Styela clava: one gene and its partner. The protein of the gene in region 1 purifies or fractionates together with the protein of each later gene. This does not show direct contact. Links are inferred from orthologs where the notes say so. Each region holds a gene or a part of one and is shown in the gene's direction. Other genes may lie near its edges.

The links. Proteins that work in one complex are often made in the same cells at the same time.
Region 2: the proteins of putative RNA polymerase II subunit B1 CTD phosphatase rpap2 (region 1) and DNA-directed RNA polymerases I, II, and III subunit RPABC1 purify together in Homo sapiens (affinity purification with mass spectrometry; 4 studies listed by BioGRID and IntAct, counting the BioPlex papers as one, with this or other methods). This does not show direct contact. The link is inferred for Styela clava from reciprocal best matches to the Homo sapiens genes RPAP2 and POLR2E.

What each region holds. Positions count from the first base shown.
Region 1 is NC_135259.1:4,731,290-4,738,355, forward strand, and holds the start of putative RNA polymerase II subunit B1 CTD phosphatase rpap2, read left to right. Parts: upstream 1-4,066; 5' UTR 4,067-4,167; intron 4,168-4,601; 5' UTR 4,602-4,644; coding exon 4,645-4,652; intron 4,653-4,945; coding exon 4,946-5,060; intron 5,061-5,575; coding exon 5,576-5,674; intron 5,675-6,390; coding exon 6,391-6,539; intron 6,540-7,050; coding exon 7,051-7,066.
Region 2 is NC_135259.1:2,953,933-2,961,243, forward strand, and holds DNA-directed RNA polymerases I, II, and III subunit RPABC1, read left to right. Parts: upstream 1-4,284; 5' UTR 4,285-4,455; coding exon 4,456-4,512; intron 4,513-5,158; coding exon 5,159-5,333; intron 5,334-5,711; coding exon 5,712-5,908; intron 5,909-6,837; coding exon 6,838-7,041; 3' UTR 7,042-7,271; downstream 7,272-7,311. UniProt on the Homo sapiens protein: DNA-dependent RNA polymerase catalyzes the transcription of DNA into RNA using the four ribonucleoside triphosphates as substrates.

The sequences.
Region 1 (7,066 bases):
GCAGGAGGTAATTCTTCTCAGGGGTCTCTTCTCTCCATAGTCACCCCCATCCATTTTATTTTCAAAATATAATGACCGCGAATCATTTCTTCTGGATGTTCAATAAACACTAAAAATTCAATTTACTTCCTAATCGTTAGTTACTTACAATCTGACCTATAGTTTCGGAGAGACAATGTGCTGATTGCCAGGATCGATAGTGGTCAAAAACAACGATTTTTCTAGAATTGCAATAGTTTTCAATATTTTGATGACTTCATCAAGTCATCGCTTACCACAAATCTGAAATTAGTTTGAATATCATTACTGAATATTATTGCTACTACTACTGCGCGAGTACTTTTGCGAATCCATCACAGTAATATTAACTTTTTCGTGCTTCCGTACGTGAATGATGTGTTCAAATTTTAGTATTGCAACATATTTGATATTTACAACATATTTACAAATTGATAAAAATAATCATTAGCAAGAACAACAACAACATGATCAATGCTCTAGCTAGATCTTGGATATGGACACGAAAGTCAAAATGAAGTAGTACCGGTATGCAATCTTTCACAGAGGACTACCGGTACCTCAGTCTTCACCACTGCGCCTGACCACCAGCTAGCAACGAAGGCAGACGCGGAACCGCCACAGGGTGCGCAATTTTTATATTTGATAACGTCATCGCACACACAAAACTAATCTTATAGAGTCCACAAAATATAGCCTTCTAGCGACAAATTCAATGTTTAACCACTGGTAATTTCAAAGCAATTGGTCCAGTAGATAATTAAAATAGCTATTTTTTTCTCAAGAAGTAAAGAATGATTAATAAGAGTAACAAAATGATCCATACCGGTATGTACATTTCGTGTACCACAAGGGAACTCCAATACATTGACACGAAAATCAAAACGAAGGGGCGCACTATTGCCGTTCGTTACTAATTACCATCCAAATCAACCAAACTTCGGAAAAATTTTCTCAAAATATCAATATATACTAGACAATAACGAAAGATTGAAAAACATCTTCCCTGCACCCCCCAGAATTGCCTACAGAAAGTGCCCGACATTACGAGATAAACTGGTTAGGGCCAAGCTGAAACCGGAATCACCAAGAGAAGTAGAAACAGGCTTTTTTAAATGCAACAGGAAATCATGCACTACCTGCAAATATTCAAAAGAAACCTAAACAAGCACTAGCAGCATCACAGGGATTCAATTAAGCAGCAATCCAAGAATTTCCCTGAAATTCGGAAAACGTCATATATCTAAGAACCTGTAAGAAGTGCGGTAAGCAATATATCGGCGAAACAGGCAGACATTTAAAGTACAGAATTACAGAACACATCAGAAGCATTAACCAAAAGAACAAAGATCTCGCAGTCGGCAAACATTTCAGTCAATTAGGCCATTCTATCAACGACTTTTTGGTAATCGGACTAGAAAAACTGTATCGAGATTAAGCATACCGACAAACAAAAGAACCTTATTTTATCAACAAATTCAAAACATTGGAACCTCTAGGAATGAATTTGAGAGATGGTTAAACTCCTGATTTATGTTAATTTGAACATTATATTCCGTTATGCGCTTATACTTGATTTTTATTCAACTTTTAAGTCATTATCTGACATTGTAGCCTTGACACTTACATGAACTCAACCAACGCCGCAGACGGAGTTACGGGAAAACAGCACGAAATTGTTTGCTTTACTTTTCAATTATTACTCACTACACTGTGGGATACTTATTGAGTACAATCCAAATCTAGCTTCCCTATTGTTCTGGCTCTCTCCCAATCTTAGTTATTTTTCTCTATCGGAAACAGACCAAACATTTGATACCATTATTTATGTGCATGCAATTGCGTTTCTTGTCATAGTTGTAAAATGCTTGTCTGAAGAAGTCTGACCTCGGTCAGACGAAACGTTACAGAAATATATTTGTGTAAGTGTGCAGCAAGACTCTTGAATTGAATAGAATAGGTATTTTCACTCTTGCTATAGCATCCTTGCGTTATACGCATACGGATCCATCTGCGCAAAGGCATAGAGCAAGGAAAGGTAGTTAGTTTCACGTAACCCCGATTGTTAGTTAAATAAACAATATGTAATTAAAATACGACAACTAAGTTCAGAAATTCTATTAGTCTTCAGGATTGGCTGTGGTATGCAGATTTAGTTAGTTTATGACACTTCAAGATGGAAATTTTTCTAGAAATTTCATTTTTTTATAAAAAAAGTTCAAAATCCAATTCAAAATAAAACGAATAGTATCGTGTGATGTATATATACATATATAATCAAGGATGTCAAAAAAGAATATTAAAACTTCATTTACTATGTTCACACCATAGCTTGAACATAATATAAAAGAATATGAGTGGTCAAATTTAATTATTATATTATTCCAAACACTCTCTGAAACCTATTCCAGTGTATTCAATTTCAAGGCTGGGTCATACATAAGAGGAGAGTTATTATAAATAATTAAAAATTACAATGTTATGCGGAATATCAACAGAACTAATATGATTCATTTTATTTTTGCAATGTAAGACCAGCACAAATACCCAGATGACAAATTGTAGATTTATATTTTTGATAGGGGTATGGATGTCCATAATATACCTACGTTAACAAAGTGAACCCCAATCTGAAATTCTCGGAAGTCAATAAGTACACAATAGGGTACTCCCGTAGTATGTGTACCAGATTAGGGTTAGACCATAATTTTATTTCGATTTTTTTATTATTTTAGTTCTATTACGAGTTCGGGGGCTGTCTGTGTTGGCCAAGTGAATATCCCCTGCCCATAGGTTTCAGTCCGAATTGATCCAAATAACAGACAACGAAATGCACTTAAAACCTCAACGAAAATATATGTGATGAAACCAAATTTCTCACCTAACAAAAAACAATAAAACAAAACGAGAATATCGGTCAGAGACCGAAGACTTATCGATCGAAAGTTAGGGGATCCCCAAAACAGCGATCTTACTCCATAATGACACCTTGTGTCCCATCACTAATTAATTGATAACTCGCTAATTATACGACATAAATCATCCAAAATCAAGCACATGCAAAATCTGGAGCAGATTCAATCTCGCCTCCGTGAGATATCACGTGCATCTAACAGGCAGACAGACAGACAGACAGACAGACAGACAGACAGACAGACAGACAGACAGACAGACAAATACCTATTAACATACTTGCCGATTAAAATCGATAAGTAACAAGCAACACTTGAGCAAGAGCGATACCACGTATTAGTAATAAGTCATCATGAAAATATTATAAATGCAATGAAATTGGAATTATGCGTCCAGTATCAACGTGGTTCAAAATACCAAATGATTCAAACTGCAGTATCAAATCTTTTGCAATACCGGTAAGTAGGCTACCTTCATCGTACCCCAAATTCCGGACATGGCTGAGCGCGAAATCGCTGAAATACAATTGCGAAAACCGCCACATGAGCGCATTTTTTTTTAAATTTTGGTCACGGCATCAAACAAAACTTCAGAGTGAAAAGCGAATCCCATTGAACCCACAGGAATTTGAAAAAAAAAAATGAACAAGAGAGCCATGCTCAAATATATGGACACGTCTGATTCACAAATGTAGTAACACAAGCGTTCCGAATCACCACTATATTATAACACTAGGTACCAGTACCGCGAAGTTCACCATTCCCCGCAAACAAATCTTAGCGAAGCGAGGATTACGTTCGCTTGTCAGCTGATATGCCTTTGCTTACATGCTAACTAACGAAACAATGTCTTCTGACCATTGATGAATGGAATATAACTGAAGATCCATTTCGTTGTTTAACGTACAGCACAATACGAAATAACCCTTTTTAATAGCCAAGCAAAACGGAAACGAATAACACGACACGACTTGCAACCAACAGGAGCGAGGTCCGGATGTTTTTTTTTTGCCGTCTAAAAATGGCGGCTTAAACATGTCACATGACCCGAGCAAGTTATCTATAGGAATAATTTTTTTGGGGGGTCAAAGGTCGGGGAAAGATTCATTGGTCCAGTAGTTAAATGAAATCAACAATTTTGAAAAAGATCATTAGGTCAATTTTGTGTCCACAATAAAACGACGACTACAAGACCTGCAAATCACGACGATTACAAGACCTGCAAATCACGACGACGGTGTGGCTCAACGGGCTAAATGTTAGGAATACGCTCGCAACCGCACCTCTAATTACTCTGCGTGGGTTCGCAGGTTCGAATCCCATGCAGGGATGGTTCTGTGCGAGAGGATTGCTGGACTCCTAGCCGTCGTTGGGTGGTTCACGTAACTAACCGCTGGTCGGTTACGGCTTCCTCTACTACCAAGTCCATGCTTCCGAAAACAAACAATACAGTAAAACTAATCCCATACCCGACTTGGAATGGTAACCGGATGAGAGGCCGTGGTTCGCCATATGGATACGCCGTCTTATCGGCTTTCCTCTCCCCCGGGATAAATATGTAAATCCTATCCTATCCATATAGTAAAAAATAATTCGAACCCTTTGACCTAGGTTGGGAAATCCCCCTTTTTGTTTTATTTCATATTATCTCCGTAATTGCCATCATTTTAGATTTCCTGGCTGCTTGATTAGAAAGATCATTATAATTATTATTATGGCGAGGTGAGTTTCAACTGCTTTTATTCATTTATATATATTATGAATAAATTTATTCATAAATATCGACAATCCAACGTGAGCTCAGTGTTGGATTTCGTGATCAAATTTATAACACCCATTTCTATTTTGACAATACGGCAATATTAATCTAGTTCATGTAATTCGATGATTGTAAACTGGTTTAACCGCCCAAAATCATCATTGTTAGTTTTTCATAAATGTGAAGAGCATGAAATACTGATTAAAAAATTTTTTTACTATCAAGATTTATTATTCATTGTGATACATTTTAACAGTCATTCTTCAATAAAAGAAGAATATGAAAAAAGAAAATTAGCAGAAAAACAAGCACATTCGATTGTAGAAAAACTCATCGAGGAAAAAGTTCAAAAAGATCAGTTTTTGTCCTGGGTATGCTTGAATTGAACTTATTTCACAACTTAAGTTTATCAATAAAAAATCATTTCTCTTGTATGACAGTATGATAGCACCTGTTATCCTTTAGATGTACTGATTTGAACTGCTCTAAATCTTTAATATAACGTTAACTCTTACAGATTTGTTTATGTTTCTACTCTAATCAAGCAGAAATAGGGGAAATATGCCGATGCTATGTTTAGGTAAAGGAAAGGATTTATTTTTGCTTTCTGTTTATCAATTGTCAAGCATCTATTTCCTATAGCAGTATAGTCTGAAAGCGAAGCACCCATGTTATATAAGGGTTGCACCCTTGTGAATACCAACATCCTGAATATATACTTTTGCACATGATAAATTTGAATTCTAAAATAAAATTCAATTAGTTAGGTAGGTAAATATTTTTATGAACATGATATGTAAAAACTTTATATACTATCTAATAATCAATCATAATTTAGATGGGTGATAATTTTAGATGTTTATATATATTAGTTTATATATACTAGCTGAAGTTGATCACCGGGCAACATTATACAGATGCTGTAGAAGAACGTTCATTATCCGACTTATGCGGTTATTGTCTATGCAAAAACAAGCTCAAAGAAGTTAGTGTATTGCTAGTTTTATTTTCTGTTTAAATTATGCATGCTTTCTTGTATATTCATGGTACATTAAACTCAAAATATTTTATTACACTTCAATGTGTGTCAGTGATTTCTTTTATTTCTGGGTATTTTGGATTAAAAGTACCAAAGGTCTTCTCCACAATAATCAATAATTTTCATCAGCAAATATTTTAACCTGTGTCAAACTTCAAAATTTAGAAGCCCGACCTAGTAATTTTTCGGCTTCTTGTTTTTGGTCTTAGATATTTTACTTTTCATCCATATGAACCTTATTTTATCTTGTTCTCTTATTGGTAATATAGAAAAAAGTGGCAAGTGTTTTTTGGATATAGATCAAAAGAAAAAGATGTTGCTTAGTAAAAAAAATCCTGAAAACGAAAACAAATATTAGAGCTAATGATGTTATGATCGTTATATATTTAGATATATTTCAAAACTCTGGAATCTGTGCCAAATTAAAAAAAATTTAGATGTCGAGAGATGGTAATCAATGTTGAAATTTCCGACTGAAAGGCATTAGGCTTATTAAGCATTCTGAACTGTTGAAAGTTCTTCAACCTATAGGCGGAGTGAAAAAATTTCGTCCAGTGTCTGGGGCTAAAGTTGGTCATTTGTTGATTGAAATTGCTTATTTTTAAGCATTGTTAAATAAATTGTTATTAACCATGCATTTATTGATTTCTTGATAACAATAGATTCCAACGCAGCAATATAAGATAAACAAGAACAAAGTGTTTGATATAACTGAAAGGAAGAAATTTTGTAGCAATCGGTGTTACGCAATATCATCCAATATACTAGAACAAATATCATCAACCCCATTGTGGCTACGAAATCATGACCTGTAAGTGTAGTTTCTCATTATTTACTGACATTTTTTTACCCTGTTTACCTCTGCTGAGTCCTATTAGCATTAATGGGAGTCACAGAACTAAAGATGGGCAAATAGATTAAAATCCTTTATAAACTTAACTCTGATTATTCTTCAATTATTGATTTCAAAGATTTATATTATTACTAATAATGTGTCTTGCATACAAAAAAATGAATTACCGTAAATTAAATAGCCTACATTGAAGAAAATAACAGATTTTTGATGACACACATGTGACATGAATATGAATGAGCCTTTGACTTCAGTTTTTAAAATTATCTATGTATTATCTCTTTGATATCAATAACTGTGTGAAAATGTATTCTCTTTCAACCTATATCAGAAAGTTGTTTTGTGCATGAAATGAACAAAAAGTCATTTTTGTCTAGATAGTTTCACTTTAGTGTTATAGTCTTCACTCAGAGTAAGGCTCTGTCACAGGAACCGTTATAATTTCTTAATATTCTCTCTTAACATTCAGAATGCCAGATATCACA
Region 2 (7,311 bases), about 1.8 Mb from region 1:
TTGACAATGGCGTTCCTTATGACGTCACAGATGTAAAGTTGTATTTATTCGTGCTCCAATGGCCGTTTCTATTTTCTGGTTAACATTTTTCGTCTGTCAAGCTCAATAATGCCTTACTGCTCGGCTCCAAGCTGCGCTAGAAGAACAAATGATATTGTAGGATTGTTGCAGAGACATTTTACTGCCTCAGATTAGCGTATCACTGTAAAATCTTTATAAAAAAGAACCAAAAATGGTTCTACGCTGTGTTTGGGGTCATATTTAACGCATTAGATTGTTTTTTATTCTTAATTGCGTTATATATTCAGATAGCATATATCTCAAAGTTCAAAATCCACCCTTCAGTTTCTTTCTAGTCCTTATAACAGCGGACTTCGGTACAACAACACGACGAAAATTTCCCATAAGACTGCATTGTTTCGCGTTTGGGAAATATGGCACAAGATGGCGTCCACGAATTTGTTTAACCCATTGAGGTGTATATAACACCTCAATGGTTTAACCAAAGCCCATGTGTTTAACATTAGGCAAGTTTTTTTTTTTTTATTATTATTATTAAAAACATCACTTTTTATCCACACGATATAACACATAAACACAATTGCACTTTAAAACAAGAGAGCTATGCTCAAATATATGGACACGTAGAGTCACATAATTTTGATGACGTCATAGCGAAAAAAGAAGTAATAGCCTTCTGGAGAAAATTTTTATCTTTAACCACTAAAAATTTCAAAGCAATTGGTCCAGTATTCGAAGAGAAAAGCGACTTTTTAAAAACGTGTCAAGCGGTACTGAGTTAGCAGTCAGGCAGCATCTTACCTGTACACTGTAGGCCATATACGGTAATTGATCACAGAACAGTTGTTCCCTTGCAAATTTTATGTTGTTTACACTTTAGGACAGATAATTGATCACAGAACAATTCTTCCCTTTCAAATTTTATGTTGTTTCCAGTAGACTCTCATCAAAATAAACAAATATAGTAGGCTACAAGTGCTACAACGCTTGCATTACTGCACTGGTAGGACCGTGAAAGAATAAGTTACGGTAATTTCATTGTGGTAAGACACCGGTACCGGCACCAGTACCAGTATCGTACTTACGTACTGAGCTACCAGTACCGGTTAGCAGTCAGCCAGCATCTTACCTGTACACTGTAGGCCATATACGGTAATTGATCACAGAACAGTTGTTCCCTTGCAAATTTTATGTTATTTACACTTTAGGACAGATAATTGATCACAGAACAATTCTTCTCTTTCAAATTTTATGTTGTTTCCAGTAGAATCTCATCAAAATAAACAAATATAGTAGGCTACAAGTGCTACAACGCTTGCATTACTGCACTGGTAGGACCGTGAAAGAATAAGTTACGGTAATTTCATTGTGGTAAGACACCGGTACCGGCACCAGTACCAGTACCGAACCTGTAGGTCTGATATTCCGTTCCGCATACGATAGGCTATAAAACTTGCATTGCAGCATTAGTAATACCGCGGAAGGAATAAGTCAATTTCACTGCGTTACGGCACCGGTATGGCAACTTACCAGTACCGACCTACAGTAGCTGTAGTACTGAGCAAGACAATCGATCGCGAAACCGCTTGAAATAAGTGCAAAACAGTGTTCCCATGAGTAAAAATAAATACCGCGAAATTTTGTATGAAATATCATATCTCATAGGATTCATATAAAATTTAAGAATAAACAAAAGTAATAGCCTTCTAGCGAAAAAATTAATCTTCAACCACTGAAAATTTCAAAGCAATTGGTCCAGTATTCGAAGAGAAAAGCGACTTTTTAAAAACGTGTCAAAGAACAAGAACAACAACAAGAACAAGAACAACAACAACATAATATTGAAACGATCGTTATGTCCACTACGTGTCCAAAAATGAGTTCATGATAACTTTCCACTTCTTAATGTGGTTCAACAGTTTACATTTTCTAGTTGCAATAATTTTTTCACAGTTAAATATACTTTTTATCATATATAAAAATTGATCAAATTGAGGCCTTTCATTACGTAGTTTACATTTATAGATATAATATCGTGCACTCAATAAAACACAGTTTATACCTTGGTTTTGCTCTACCCCCATTAAAATTTCTCTATATGTCAGATTAAGATTTAAACCATATTCAACAGTTAGCCGTGCATTAACTATTTTCCAAAATTGTTGCACAAATTCACAGAAATAAAATAAATGAAACATGGTTTCAACATTCCTTTCACAAAATGTACATTTCGGACTTGATGTCTTATTTATCCTAAATAATAGGTCATTTGTAGGTACTGCTCGCAAAGCAAGTTTAACATGGAAGGATCGAAGTCTCGATTCAATAGTGCAATTAAAAACTTTTTCATACTGCGTCAACCAATTATCCAAGTTCTGCACAGTTCATTTGACCATTTTTCTATTTTCTCCTTAGGCATCAAGATTTTTACATTACGAAGCTTATCATATATGTATCTGGAAGTTTTATTGATGCTTCTAATATCTTCCAATAGACTAAGATGTGGATTGGCTTGAGGGGTTTTTACTAAAATGTTTTTCCATGCTTGGGGTATACATGATAAAACTTTTAAATATGATTGCATGTCATTATAAAAATCAGAAAAGCAATAATGATGAAAAATGATTGGAAACATTGCAATTTGGTGTTTAGAATCACAGATATCTTCAATGAAACAAATACCCTTTCTATTCCAATCTTCAATATATGACATTTTCCCTTTACTTGATATCTTTTTATTGAACCACAGTGGTTCATGCAAGTGACTTACATCAGTAACAACTTTAGATTTGAAAATATGCCAATAGCATAGAGTATCTCTTAAACATCTCGACTTAATGTTTTTAATAAATATTCCAAATGGATATACATTTCCATAGAACAAATTCATTCCTCCATATAAATTTAGAAAAAAAAATTCTATAGATTTCCACGAAGCATCAAATTCATCATTTACTAAAAATTTAACCCATCTTAATTTAAGACCAATAAAAAATGATTCAATATCTATCATATTAACCCATCCCAGAGTATCTCTTAAACATCTCGACTTAATGTTTTTAATAAATATTCCAAATGGATATACATTTCCATAGAACAAACTATTGGGAAGTCTCATTGGTAAGGTGGATAATACATATACTAGTGTACTCAACATAAGGGGTTTGATTACCGTAATTTTTTCAAGGAAATCAAGATTTCTTCTTGACCATAATTGTGCAATCATTTTCATTTTCTGGTGTAGCAAGTACATAAGAATAGTTACTGTGTATTGTAATATTTTCACCACTTATTGTTAGCAGTGCATGTTATTTGCCTGAAACAAGGTCGTTGTCCCAATTCATTTCCTTTATGATATATTTTTCTCGCTCAGTGTAGCTTGTCTTTGCCGTTCTTTGTTAGTTAGAAATTTGGTTTCATCACATATACTTGCTTTAAGGTTTCAAGTGTAATTCGTTATTTGGATCAATTCGATTGTGCAACTTTACAATATAACAATTGGCATTCAATACATTGTGTGCTTTTTGACCTCTGAAGGAGTCAAGATCGGAGTTACACTCTGTTAACGTGTGTTCAATAACACGGGAGTGTAGACACGCAGATAGGGTCGAATCTTTGTTGCCCTATACTGGAGTTTTGGCAAAATATTCACAGTATAAAGGTCAGCATCATTTTCAAATATAAAAATACCCAACAATTTAAAATCTTTTGAGTTCCACTCAAGTCCTCGATCTTTCATAGGACAATTTTGGCAATGATTGTTTCCCCCCAGGTACAAAGCTTGGCATTTGCTCATGTTAATTTTGCATCCAGACATGGAATAGAAAATATCGGTTTCATAAAATATTGTTTTGATGCTTTTTTCTGAGCCATCAGAATACACAGAACATTAGGCAAGTTGGTGCCGGCCGTTGCAGCCTACCGGTATGGTATTCGAAGGTTCTAGATTGCTGGACTCCTCGCTGTCGTAGGGCAAAGGGCTGTGAGGTGATTCACGTACGGTAACCGCTGGTCAGTTACGGCTTCCTCCGCCATCAAGTTTGTGCATAAGAACTTGAATAACTGGCTGACTAAACACTAAACCTATTCCAGTACAGCAGTGTTCTTGGCATGGACTGGTAACCGGACGAGAGGCCTTGGTTCAACATATGATTTGAGTCGTATCGCATTTCCTCTCATCGGAAAAATATGTAAATCCTATTTCTGTAAATCCTATACCGGTACCGTATGTCATGAAGTTACCGTACCGGCAATAACCTTACTGCTTCTGTTTTTGCAGACTTTATATGCCATTTCATAAAAAGTAACCTAAGTCTGTAAGTTAACACTTTAACTTCAATACCAGAATTATTATCAAACAGCCTCTAAGGTACCCTACTTGCTATATTACTTCAAGGTACTATCTGACTATTGTAACTTTGAACATCTTGTGTAATGGATGATGAATCGGAAACATACAGGCTATGGAGAATTCGAAAAACAGTGATGCAGGTAGATAAGATATAATATGGTACGGTATACATATATCCAGATATCAGAAATATAGTACTGTAGTACTGTAGTATGAATAAGTAGTAAAACTTGGGTATCGTTTGCATTTTTCAACATCCCTCATTGTCATTCTGTGGGTTGACAGGTTGATGAAGATGCAAACAATATCTAAATTTTACTACTTATCTATACTCTGTTTTCTGAAGAAATGAACGCTCTATGATGAGTACCTGAAAAGCAAATCAAAATTAAAACTGTATACTTACTTTTGACTTGAGACACCCTGCACATAGTATATGTTTGTAACATTCTTAATATAATATTGAATACTGTTGAAAAGATAAATTGTTTGAGTACTTGAGCATGAATAGTCGCTGATATATGGGATTCGTGAATCATAGTCAGGACAGAGTTAGGCAAATACATGCATGCATTATTATTTGTTGATTGAGTATGACAGTATGAGAAAAAAAACTGTGCACATTTTGTCTATTTCATCGAGTCCCAACAAATGTTACGTCTTTTCAAGCTCTGTATCTCTTATATTCATTTTGCTCATTCTTCATTTGCTAGTAATGTTAACAAATAAAGTCTGGGTATAAGTAAAAGTAACCTTTTAATTTGACGCAAACTGCTGTGTTTCTAGCTGTGTCATGATAGGGGATACCTGGTAACTCAACATGAACTGGATCAAACATTGGAAGAATTTAAAGAAGAATTTGGCGACAAACCAAGTGAAAGGCACCCAGCTAGACAAGAGTTGACTGTTCTTGTTGCACATAATGATGATCCTACAGATCAGATGTTTGTATTTTTTCCAGGTATGATTACATATCATTATATCATTCACAGACGTTTTGTACCATATAACCACAGACTTTACTTACTACTAGGGGGCATGAGACAGTTTGAGTTCTGGTTTTCAGATGCCTTGTGAGTTGCTTAAAAATAGTTATATACAAATACGTGTGAATTTATATATATTTATTCTCCACCATAGCGGCATATACCAGCAACGACCCATAAGTATGCCCAAATGTCCCATAAATCTATGTGTATTTGCAAATTATTATTTTTAAACAGCTCCCGAGATGAGTGTGAGACAAAATCATACCCTCAATCAGTCTTGTGACTGAAAAGGTCTGTAGCGTGATAGGTGATTTGTCATTAAGCTTTCTAATATGCTCTCCTGTTCACAGAGGAACCTAAAGTTGGTATAAAAAATATCAAGATGTATTGTCAAAGAATGCAAGAAGAAAATATTCAAAGAGCAGTCATAGTTGTTCAGTCTGGAATGACGCCGTCTGCCAAACAATCTCTGGTTGATATGGCCCCTAAGTATATTCTTGAACAATTCCTTGAGCAAGAGCTGCTGATTAATATAACTGAGCATGAGGTGAGTTATTTTATTGTTACAATGCAACAAATGTATCTGATCAGCATATTTTGTTGATAATATAAGATGCTAGCTACTTGGAATTCTATTAAAATTATTGTTGCACAAAATTTATTTCTGTGTGTTGTCTTCTGCTTTTGAGTGTCTTACGTTTCAGCAAAGAAAGCTCACATGAATATGTTTAATCATATAATGGTTTCAAGTATGTTAGTTTTCTATCGTAGCATTGATAGATTTCATTGCTTTGCCAGCATAATGAAGCCAAATAGAAACAACAACACACAATTCATTAAATTTCAGATGTTGGTGCGACAGTGTCCATTGTAGTTTATAACGTAGCGCCTTCCATTTTGGATTAAGTAGACAATTTAGCAATCATTATTTTTATAACCGCTTCACGATTTTCATTCATCAGGATCATTGAGCTAGAGACACAAGTAAATTTTTACTGACTTGATCCTGTTCTATTCAACACTGGTAATTTAGGATTTGAATATTGTTGTTGTTGGTATACTAAAACCTCGAAACTGAATTATCGAGAACTTGCTACAAAGAAATTGTTTTTTAGAAAGCCACATATCAGCTGAAAGTAATTTGAAAAGAGGAATTAAGATTTTCTTGATTGGAAATTCCCATTTTTTTATATAAGCGGAGAAGTTGAAATATTTTGCGACAGACAGAAAATATGTTTTCAATGTCTGAAAAATTTGTCAATGCTATCTCATGAGAGAAGGAATGCCAGTGCAGCTCCATAGTCGTGTAGTTTTCGTGTTTCGTTACCCTTCCAAGTTGGGCATGGTTATAACCGGCAAGTTAAAGATACCTGGCAGGGACAATAACGTGATCAGAGACTCTAGCTAGAATATGTCTGTAACGAATCGTGTTGTGATATTTCATTCCCTTTAATAATATGGATGCTTCTCTTACAGCTTGTTCCTGAGCATGTCGTTTTGAATCCTGAAGAAAAAGCGGAGCTTCTTGCTAGGTATAAATTGAAAGACCATCAACTACCTAGAATTCAGGGTGGTGATCCTGTGGCTAGGTATTTTGGATTGAAGCGTGGACAAGTAGTTAAAATTGTGCGACCAAGTGAAACTGCCGGAAGATACGTAACATATAGATTGGTGCAATGATGCAGATATCAATTATAGCAGTCACATTGTAGTATTGAGAAGACTAACTCAATGGGGAGTTTGGAAGTAATGTTGATGTTTGGGAAAAAACTCCTTTGGCAATCATATGTTCTCAGAATGAAGTAAACATTTCAACAAAGGGTCATGAAAGGTAGAGCATAAAAGTGAAGGGCGCTTATTCCAGGATAACCAAAATTTGAGTATTCCGCACAATAAAATGAAATACATTATGGCATTATTTTTTGACATTTAGAGGTGAATCCCACCGTA